Linked DNA regions of Yarrowia lipolytica. The protein of the gene in region 2 purifies or fractionates together with the protein of the main gene of each other region. This does not show direct contact. Links are inferred from orthologs where the notes say so. Each region holds a gene or a part of one and is shown on either strand. Other genes may lie near its edges.

Region 1 (3,557 bases), on a different chromosome or scaffold from region 2:
TACACGCTCTCATAGGTCCATAGAGACGCCATTTCAATAGTGTGTTGATGGGGTTGTAAAATTTCAAAGTTAATATGCATAACAATGTAGACAAGCAAGCTCAATCAAAAACAGTGACCGGAGGGAGGGTACACACTGGGGTCGAAACACGTGATATCAAGCCAAAGAGGAGAAACAATCTTTCTATCTACTCAATTATTTAAAAACAATTTCCCCCCCCTCATTTTTCACGTTTTATACCCTCAATGTAGACTCTGTAGTGCATGTTTTGGTGGCATTCTGGTGTGCGTGTGTGGGTGTTTCCATTTCTCACAGGTTATGAGTAAATACCCAAGAGGACACGACCAAAAACCGACATAAACAGTTGTCGATAACTGAAAGAAGGACTTGAATAGCATGATTGATGTGTATCAACATGTCGAGAAAGTCGCCTCTATCAATTGCTATTAGAAGTGAAATGTTGTATCGTCGAGTGCTACCCGACAAATATTTACAGTACATAAAAAAAAACAAAAACAAAACGATATACTGTACATACTTGACATAAATACAAGTAGCTACCGGTACAAATACTCGTACTGCACTTGTATCCTGATTCAACCTAGAGCACCAATCAATCAATTGATCGTCACATCACTTCAACGACTACATATTCTCCTCATACATCCACTCACTCACTCACTTGTATCAACAATTTCTTGCACTATATATAAACTACACTAGGGACTCTGTTTAGACAGAAGCACCAGAGATGTAGAACCACTTGTCAATGCTCTGATCAATGGGGGCAGGGGCAAGGTTCTGGCCCTCGGGAATGGAAGCAGAGGCAGTGAAGGTGGGGGTGTTCTCAAGAGTGGTGTTCTCGAGAGAAATGCCCTTGTCGTCGGATGCCTTTCCGGCAATGAGGGTCTCCCAGGCCTCCTCGCACTCTCGGATGACCTCGTCGGCGTACTTCTTGTTCTTGCACTCACCGGAGAAGGCAAACTGGTTCTCGGGCTTTCCGTCAGGGATCTTGTAGATTCGGAACCACTCGTTGGTGGCTCGCAGAAGACCGGGCAGGTGTCGCTCAACATCCTCAATGTCATTGACCTTGGAGGCAAGAGGGTCCTTGACATCGATGGCGATGATCTTCCAGTCAGTCTCACCCTCGTCGAGGAGAGCCATGACACCGAGGACCTTGACCTGCTTGACCTGGCCAGTGTAGCCAACAGTCTCACCGATCTCGCAGACGTCGAGCGGGTCGTTGTCACCCTTGGCCTTGGTCTCGGGGTGGACGTGGTTGGGGTCCTCCCAGGTCTGGGGGAAAGCACCGTAGTTGTGGATGTATCCGTGGTGGGGGAAGCAGTTTCGGACGAATCGGAGCTTGCCCTTCTTGGTGTCCTGGATGATGGGGTTCAGAGCAAGGTCCTTGGAGATCTCCATCTTGGCGTTGGTCCATCGAGGAACCTCGACAATCATGTTGAGAATGGTCTTCTCAGCATTGGCGTACAGAGGAATGTCGTGGAAGGCGGAAACGGGCTTGCCGTCCTTCTCAATGTAGACCTTGTAGTCGAGAGTGTTGGGGGCACCAATGGACCGGGTAGTGTAGGTAGACATGTTGCTGGTGTTGGATGAAGAAGTTAAGTGCTGGCTGACCTGGCCAAGACGATGATGCGTGGTGTGCGGTAGGGTAACCTGATCTGAACTTGTCCTCGTCACGTGTGATGGCATGTGTGTGATATATATGCGTGTCCTTTGATCTTTTTGGCGGTGGCCTCGTGGCGACGATTGTGGTGGGTCTTTCAGGCTGGGCTGGTTGGCGTCGATCCGATTGTTGTACAAGTGCTCCCGTCGTGCACGCTCTCTCAGCCAAAGGTGAGGTCCCTTCTTTGGGTTTCCATGGGTCTATATGTACTGTTATTGGTGAGCATGGGGGGAGCCTAACTTTCCCCACATAAAGTGCGACTCGGAGGCCCATGTGCGTGTGTGGCGACGCTGTGCCATCAATTGAGATGTGGTGGATTCTACATCTTGTGAAAATCACTCTCCAGACGAAATTTAGCACACACACATTGCCCAACAACAAAGTGGATGGGCAGTTATTACCTGTTCAATGCACCCTGAGTCATACACCTATGACGTACAAGTGCCTGCCTCAGCAACCATCACCTGTGCCCTCTTATTTGCGATTGCGCGCCGAAACGTGGTGTGGGGTGCAATACTGATTATTCTGGGCTCCTCCGAGGAGGTTTTGTCATGAGCTGTGACGTGGATGGCGTTAGTGCGACAGCAGGTGAAAAAGAGAGCGGCTGGGCTAAACTTCAAACGAAAAAGCAGGCAGTTGATTATCGCACGAAACCCAACATTCTCTTCGGCTCTTGCGCGGAGATATTGCCATATGCATCGGTTATCGTGTGTCTTCGGGTTTCAAGGCGTAGATCGCCATCCATCTCATAAGAGTACACTAGAGCAAGCGAAAAGGAAAAGGAAAAGGGAAAAATATTAAAAAAGGTTGTGGGAATTTAACCCACTTGTTTGGAGCAGTTGTTAAACTGCCATCACCCAGAATCGAACTGAGGTTTCCACGGCCACAACGTGGTGTACTAACCACTATACTATGATGGCTTAAATTAAGCGTTGATTAGAGGAAATTTCTGCAACCATAATCAAAATTCTGACCTCATTAACCCGCGATTTTGGGATAAAAGTAATACCATTGGAAACTAGACACCTGAATTAATCAAATGGTGACGACAATGCCACCCTAAACCCATTTTTACATGTTTTACAACCTTTCCAAGTTTGCTATGACAACCCACAGGTAGACCCAAAACATGACTCAAACCGACTGTTTCAGAGTAAAAAGACTACCAGCAAACAGATGAGGTTTATATAAGACCAATACAAACGACATTAAGGTACTATACTCATGTGTAGCTCCGAATGATGGGTGTTTTTATCTCATTGCTTCCTCAAATCTCCATCCAATAGTTTACCCCCTGATAGTGAGGCAATTCCCTCAATTGTAGAGGATTAACAGTTGATCGATTCAATTCTTAGCAGCTAATGAAAAAAAGAATATGTTTACTTCCTCTTTTCCTCTTAATTATTCGTGAAATCCCCGTTTCAGGTTGCTTCTTGACACCGCACTACAAGTAGGTAGATATGGAACACACTATAGAGTTTCAGCAAGTTGGGCCACCTCCTGAACATATTCCCCGAGATCTTCTTAGTTGTTTCTTGTTTTTTTTTTTTTTTTTTTTTTTTCTTCTTCATTTTACCGCTCTCCTAGCTTAGACACCGTCAGCTACTACCTCAATGAGCCCTTTGCCAGAAACTAACCCTCCATGACCACAGTCAACAGTGTCGAAAAACCTCGAGGTTTCAACTCTAAACCTCTCCAAGCTTATCTAACTTAGACCCCTCCTACACACATGCGCACGTTTCGAAAGTCGGTAGTACGCAAGACAAAACGCCTGTTTGACCACCAGGGGACGTCCAAAAAATACATTGACGACACTACCGACATGTCTCAGATCCAGCAACTGATTGAAATGGGCATCAGCGAGGATGTCGCC
Region 2 (7,132 bases):
GTAATTCCCAGTCCCTTGCATACGCCATTTTTTTGCCACCGATCTTTGCATTTTTGGAAGTATATACATAGGAGCATGTTGAGCAGGAGATAGCGCAGACGGAGTGTCAGAGGAGAGACAATGTAGGCTGTCACGATAAGTGACCACAGTAGCAAATCAAGATTTACACACGCACCATGCTCAGACGTTCAATATCTACCTTCTGTCTACAGTTCTGTCTATAGTACACAGTAGCTTGGCTTTATTCGCTAACCTGTTCAGACGATAAGTACAATTAGCGTCAGTCCATATACCCCTCTTTCAAAAGCGGAAAAACTAATGGATGCAATAATACGACAACCTCCACCGGATTATTCCACACTCAACGTCCAAAAAAGAAAGTGTCACCTTTGGACCTGTTGAGTGACGTCCAAATCGAGCTAAATGAAACTCAATCGTTCGCATCGTTCATCTCGCTAACCATTGCGACTGGAGACATTCTCACCCGCTGAGCTAAAAAGGCAGTGAGTAGCGAGGTGGAAATGGTTGTGCGGGTCTTCAAGTCCTTGTACGCTGCCATTACCACCTAAAGCACCCTCTTACAAGTACCGGTACATACTGTACTTCTATCGTACAGTAGATGACAGATTCACTATTATCATCACATTGCCATAATAATCCACTCAATAAGACAAATACCCTTCCACCCTACACATCGCTCTGAGGCCACACCTCTTCACTGGTTGATTATTAAATAAATAAATGTACATACACTCCCCCATTAAAACTGATTTTTCCTACGCCGCCACTCTCTTTTGACTCTTTTCCCAGAAATCCAGACAGGCAATCACATCGTTGCCCCGCTCGTCCTCGTACGCGTAGATGATCTCCCGCGACGACTCGTGCAAGAACCGGATGTTCTCGCCGTGGATCACGCTCACAATCTCGCCCGTCTTGACATGCCGAATCTCCACAAAGTTGGGTTCGAAAGCCAACAGGTACGGGTACCAGATACCAAAGTTCTGAGGCACGCCTTCCCAGTCGATTCGCCACATGGGCTGCTTTCGCCAGCCATGGGCGTTGGCGTAGAACGAGAACTCGGAAAAGTTGAGCAAGAACTCGCCATCAAGTCGGTACACTGCAATAGGCTTGAGTTGCTCCTTGCCAATGACGAAATCCAGGGAAGTATCTGCAGAAGACAGCAGACTCTGAGTGTCGAAATTGGTGAGGGACACCACCTTGAAACCGTTAGCACAGCCAACACACAAGTTGAGAGACAACAGTGAGATGGAGATAATCTCTGAAGAAATGTTGAACTGCTGGAACGACCGGAACTCGGTGTCCTGACGTCCCTTCTTGAGAGACAGGAGGGTTGTTTGCCGCTTGTTCTTGGTTAGGGGTTCTGAGGGCTCCAGGACGTTGATGGTGGACGAAGTGGAGCTCGACTTGACTGTGCAGACCAGCATTCGGTTATTACACACACCAGCCTTGAAGAAGTTGATGTGACCAAGAACCTTCTTACCCTTTCGCGAGTTGGATACGGGATCCGGAGTATCGATGATATCGGACGGCCAAGCATATAGAGTCTTGTCAGCAAGCGCCAAAATCGTCGTGTACTCGTCCAGAATGGCCACCTGGGTCACGTTGCTCGTAGAAATGAGCTTGACAGGGGTGGTGGCCACAATGGAGTTCTGTAGCGAGCCCTGCTGCTTTGGAAGATGCCGGATGTCAGAAATGAACACTCCCGAGTCGGTTCCATATAGCACCTTTCTTCCGCCGTCAATGGGAACCACGCAATTGACACGGTTATTGCCGTGGAAAAAGCCGGAGCACAGCGTGTACTGCGAGAATACGTCGCCAAGCTCTCGTCGGGCATTCTTCTGCGACTCAATGTTGTCAGACCACGCCTTTCGAGCTGCAAAGTTGGCAGCATACAAAGTCAACTCGTAGCCCTTTCGTCCGATATGCAGAAAGGTCAGAGGGTACTTTCCATTGGACGACTCCTTCGACACAGTCTTGGGGATCAGCGAAGACGGAGGCCGTCGGAATGAAGAGCTCTTAGGACCGATCTCCTCAGCCTGAGCAGCCAAAAGAAGTTCGAGGGGGATGGGCTTCTTGTATACACGCATAATTTCCCGCTTGTTGACCACCTTAACCTTGACGAACAGCAAAAAGTGGTCCAGCAAGTACACTTGGATCTCACCCTGGGTGTCCTGGGTTCGCTTCTTGAGAGAGCCCTTGAAAATGATTCGTCGAGACTCTTCCATCAGCTTGAGGTCCACGTAGTCGTTCTTCTGGAACACCAGCGACTGGTTCAGCTGCATCAGCGAGAACCGGTTCTCGGACTGACCACTCTTTTCGTTGACCTTCATCAAGTACGCCTTGATCTGTTTGATGGCTTCAGGAATGTCACCGTAGTCGGGGTTGTCCTCCTTGGTGTGTTTCAGCACAGCTTCGAGCAGCAGAGGATATCTGGCCAATCGAGTGGTAGGCTTGGTCAGGTAACCGTTAAGCTCCAGTTTTCGAGACTGCTCGAGACGCTCCGTGTCGTTGACAAATTTGGCAAATGCCGGGTTAGACGACTTTTCACGCTCGTACTCATACTTACCGTACAATTGCGAGGCTCCGTACTTAATGAACGGCTCGAATCGTGGCACGTGTTGCAGGAAAATGTCTCCGACACGTCGAACAACAGGCGCAAACTGCTCTCGCTTGGTCAGAGCCTCGGCCAGCTTGATGTTGACGGCATGCACGTCCATGATGAACGAAAAGACCATCTTGATGAATCGCTCTCGTCGAGCCTCGGGAATAATGTTCGAGGTTCGCAGGGGAGTGATCCAATAGTCCCGTACATACTCCAGATCCTTGACAAAGTCCCGCTCTGTGTAAATGAGCTCGCAAATGACCTCCTGTCGCTTCTTCTCCTCGTCATCCACACTGTTGGCTATCTCCTTAGTGACCCGCTCTCTCCACAGCTTCTGCTCTTTGTTGTCGCTGTCGCCGTGAAGAGACAGACGCGACTCAGATCGCTTAAGACCGCTGGGCTTCATGTTGAGCCGAGCCTGCTGCTCTAGACGCCTGGGACAGGCAATGGAGTAACACAGCTTGTCTCTAGTGCACGTGGGAGAGTAACACTCTGTCAGCAGCGTGAACACACCGTTGACAGGCATTCCAACAGTCTGGGCAGCCGCATCATTGGCTTCCACAATCTCGTTGAACTGGTACAGCTCAAAGGGCGAGTCTCGCAGCCGATGGTCGTAGGTGACGTCGTGGAAGAACTTTTGGGCATCCAGAGACCGGCCGAGAAGCAGGGCCAGGTTTCTGTCAGTGGTTTTGATGATATCGGCAATCACTGACACAGCCTCGGAACCCAGAAACGAATTGGAGTAACTCAGCTCGTTCTTCTTCTTGTCTGCTACCACAACGGTGAGTCGGAACATCTCGGCCACCTTGGACAGCAACGCAGGGTAGACGAGAGGGGCTCGTCGCGAGGCAGTGAGTACTGCAGAACGAGGAGAGGGGCCAAATTCAGATGACAACGACCGCATGGACGATGTGGAGGTCGTTCTGTGGTTGCCGAAGCTTGACTGCTGTGTGGGAGACACGACCGTGCTGGCAGTGGCAACCGACGCAGAGGAAGACGAGGGAAGGTGGGTTGCCGACGTAGAGGGAGTTACCGTCGAGTTGAGACTGACGGTTGACCCAGGGATGCTGTGTCCCTGTGCGTTAACTGCATGGGTGCTGCCTCCCATTCCTCCAGGTCCAGAGCCAGGAGGTCCTCCCTGTCGCGGCGGAATCACTCTACCTGAAGAGGTTGAAGTCATGGTAGAGGTTCGGCCCCCGGTTTCTCGATCGTAGACGTTGGGGTTGCCTCGCGATGTTGCTGCCACCGACTGCTGAGTTAGAGACATGGACCGTCCGTACTGCTGCTGGTGAGCCGGGTGATGCTGCTGAGGTCCACCAGACACTGATCTGCCCGGATTGAACTGGCTGAACTGCGAGTACGGGTTGGAGGGGGAGGTCGGAGAGGTGGCCGACTGGGTGTGTCGCATCTGGGGTCGCCGGGAAATGTGGTAAGGGTTAGCCTGGGTCTGGATCTGTGGCGGTTGTTGCTGTCGTGAGAACTGCTGGCCACCGTATTGCGGTGCTCCAGGAGTCATTCCCTGGCCCATACTTGTTGGGGGCATGTTTCCTCCCTGGACCTGGCCGCCCTGAGGGTGCTTCTGAGGCGAGTATTGCTGCTGATGCGGGGGTGGAACATGTTGCGGAGCATGTTGCGGAGGACCGTGCTGCAGCTGAGGAACATGATTCTGCGGGGGAGGACCGTGGTGCTGCTGGGGAGGCGCGTGGGGAACATGCTGGGGCACCTGCTGGGAAGCATGCTGAGGAGGAGCCTGCTGTCCCTGTCGTCCTACAGCGTAAGGATACTGGGTCTGGCCCGTGTGTCCCTGAGGCTGGCCTTGCGGGTACTGTCTCGGCGACTGCTGCTGGGCCTGTCCGGGCTGTGGCCGGTTGGTCGGGTAATGTCGCGGTGGCATGTGTTGCTGTGGCTGCTGGTGATGCTGGGGTGGGGGATTGGCATGATGCGAGGGCTGCATGGGGGGCTGTTTGGTCTGGCCCTGGGGAGGGGCTTGGCCTTGTTCATACCGCTCGTTGAGGTTTTGCATGGACCGCGAGGCGGGGATGCGCTTGGTTAGTATACGGGAGCAACAGGTGTGAGGGTCCGAAAGTCGAGGGCGGACAACGAGATGTAGCTAGTGGAGCAGAAGAATGGGCTGTGATAATTTGTATATGGCGATTCTTAGAGTCGATGTAGGTTTGATTTGCCCTAAGTGTGTCGTCATGTATGCTCTACACCACGTCGTGATGTGTCGTGCGATGCGTTGGTACGCCTTGGTTCCCCTCAAACCACGTCAAACAGTGTCGCTAAAATGTCGCCATAGGAACAGTACAGTCGTGAACATTCACCAAATGAAATTACTGCACATTCCACAGCAATCTCATCTGAATATATCCTTCACGTCACCCTTAAACCATCCGCTCATCTGTGTAACTGCGCGGTACGATAGGAACACCGCTTGTACTGTTGGGATATGAGCCATGTCGATGCTTCTAATTCTAGGTCTCTTCTTCTGCCTGTCTGTGTCTCGCTTGCCACTGGTTCTGTGTTCACATCAGTCTCCTTTCTGTCCATATCACCCATTGCCTGTGTCTATCAGGGTTTCTCCTCATGTCTCATCTACTCACCTGCATCGACGGAATATCGGTAAAAGGAATATCCAACACGTCCTGCGCCATTTGAGCTGCCCTGGGTCGAGTGTGACTAGTTGTGTGTCTCTTGGGGCGTTGTGTCGTGCAAACAACAACTGGTGTAGAGATTGGCGGGCTCTGAAAAAGTGTAGTACTGTACCCTAAGACGCACGAGGCTGTGTTTGTGTGGTGCCAACTTTAGGTTGCTTAGTCACCTGCGGTATTAGTGTGGGGGGAATAAATGGAGCGCTATGAGGGAGACGCATGCAACTTGACCCGGTCGGTACGGTCTATATTACTTGCTACAATGTGGTGAACCGGTGGTCTTTTTTCTCGTGAAAATCTGTCTTTTTTTTCGGCATTTATAGGACTGCCGAAAACGTCAGAAAATAGGGTTGGGGAAGACTGTACAAGAGCAGACCTTTGTATGAGTACTCGAGATACTTTTTTGGAGAGATGATGAAGAAGTCCAAACACCTCCAGTGTGTCATAATAGCCTGTGATGAACTATTTGCTGGCTTTTACTGTCACCTTTCTACCCAAAAGTACCCCTCTCTGACCCACCATTGTCGGTCATATTCACTATGTCCGTCGTATGCAGTCCATCACTTAACCTCATTTGTCCTTAATAAGCACAGGGGTACAGTAGTCCAAAAAGCAATAAACACGGAAGACTCAAGACCGTCAGCCGATGGTCCTGTAGCAGTTGAGCAAGGGAGTGGCTGGAAGCCGAAAATAGTGCCTTGTGTAGCCACAAGTAGATAACAATTCCTTTCAACTTCAAGCACGATAACCACTCAATTGTTAACTCAATAACTGTTCGCTCGCACTTGCCACACAGCTTGCTTGTACCTACGATAGGTGCAACTGTATTGTAGGCATGTGTCCTACAGAATGATCCTCGTCCCCTCCCCGATTATAGCCATTACGGTATTGACATTGAGACACTTACTACTGTAATACGAACATCGGCTACTTGTACTTGTACCAGGGTGTGATAATGAACTCTCTTAACTCCGGTTCCCCGCAAGTCAACCCGGCTGGCACTACAGTCGGTCACACCTTTATCTGACACAGTAGCTACGGTACAGTAAATCTGAAGTTCAATCAACTGAGGGAGTGATTTGAGAAAACAAACTCAAGTGCCATCCAAGTAAAATCCAAGTATGTTACTGAAGCAACCCGCACCCCCTTCCTCCGAATGTTCGCTTCGTAATCAGCGGAATTCATGGTCGAAACATTTCCAATTCACTCAATTGAATCGGCTTATGACATTCCATCAATCCACCTACCTCCGGTCACCAAAATCTCACCTCCCACCATTCCTTGCAATTTCACCTCTAACTGCGCCATTATTAGAGTTCACCAGCTATCTCCACCTCATCACACCCAAACCTGTCATTACCAACGCATCACCAACGTTAACACATCCAACCAGACACAAAAATGCCAGCTCTGAACAGTACATTTCTCGGCGAGGACCAGGACACCCGGGTAGTGGGCAATTTCGCTATCCTCCCCATCAAAACGTCATTCCGAGGCCCCAGTTACCCCAGCAACGCCGACTACGACATCATCGACGAGGTGCTGGATCTGTTCCGAGCAAACTCATTCTTTAAGAACTTTGAGATCAAGGGCCCTGCCGACCGGGCTCTCATTTACGGCATTCTCTTTGTGTCCGAGTGTCTGGGAAAGCTCAAGCCTACCACTTCTGCCAACGAGGCCAACAAGTTGCTGAACACTGCTGCTGTGGAACACTTTTCCATTCCCGGAGACGCCGGCTTCCCACTGAACTCTCTCTACGCCCCTCCCCGAGACCGAAATGAGGTCGAACTGCTGCGAGGCTACCTGATGCAATTCAGACAGGAGCTGGCAAAGCGTCTGATTGAGAAGATCTACAAGG

Evidence for each region.
Region 1: the proteins of YALI1_B26430g (region 2) and YALI1_F18105g purify together in Saccharomyces cerevisiae (affinity purification with mass spectrometry; 4 studies listed by BioGRID). This does not show direct contact. The link is inferred for Yarrowia lipolytica from reciprocal best matches to the Saccharomyces cerevisiae genes ROM2 and IPP1.

Annotation. Positions count from the first base shown.
Region 1 is NC_090775.1:1,808,864-1,812,420, forward strand, and holds YALI1_F18105g (uncharacterized protein), read right to left. Parts: upstream 1,711-3,557; coding exon 733-1,710; downstream 1-732. Other genes in the region: YALI1_F18081g (uncharacterized protein), read right to left, coding at 1-32; YALI1_F18122g (uncharacterized protein), read left to right, coding at 3,414-3,557.
Region 2 is NC_090771.1:2,638,402-2,645,533, forward strand, and holds YALI1_B26430g (uncharacterized protein), read right to left. Parts: upstream 5,278-7,132; coding exon 5,227-5,277; intron 4,668-5,226; coding exon 777-4,667; downstream 1-776. Other genes in the region: YALI1_B26451g (uncharacterized protein), read left to right, coding at 6,676-7,132. UniProt on the Saccharomyces cerevisiae protein: Stimulates the exchange of RHO1 GDP-bound form into GTP-bound form.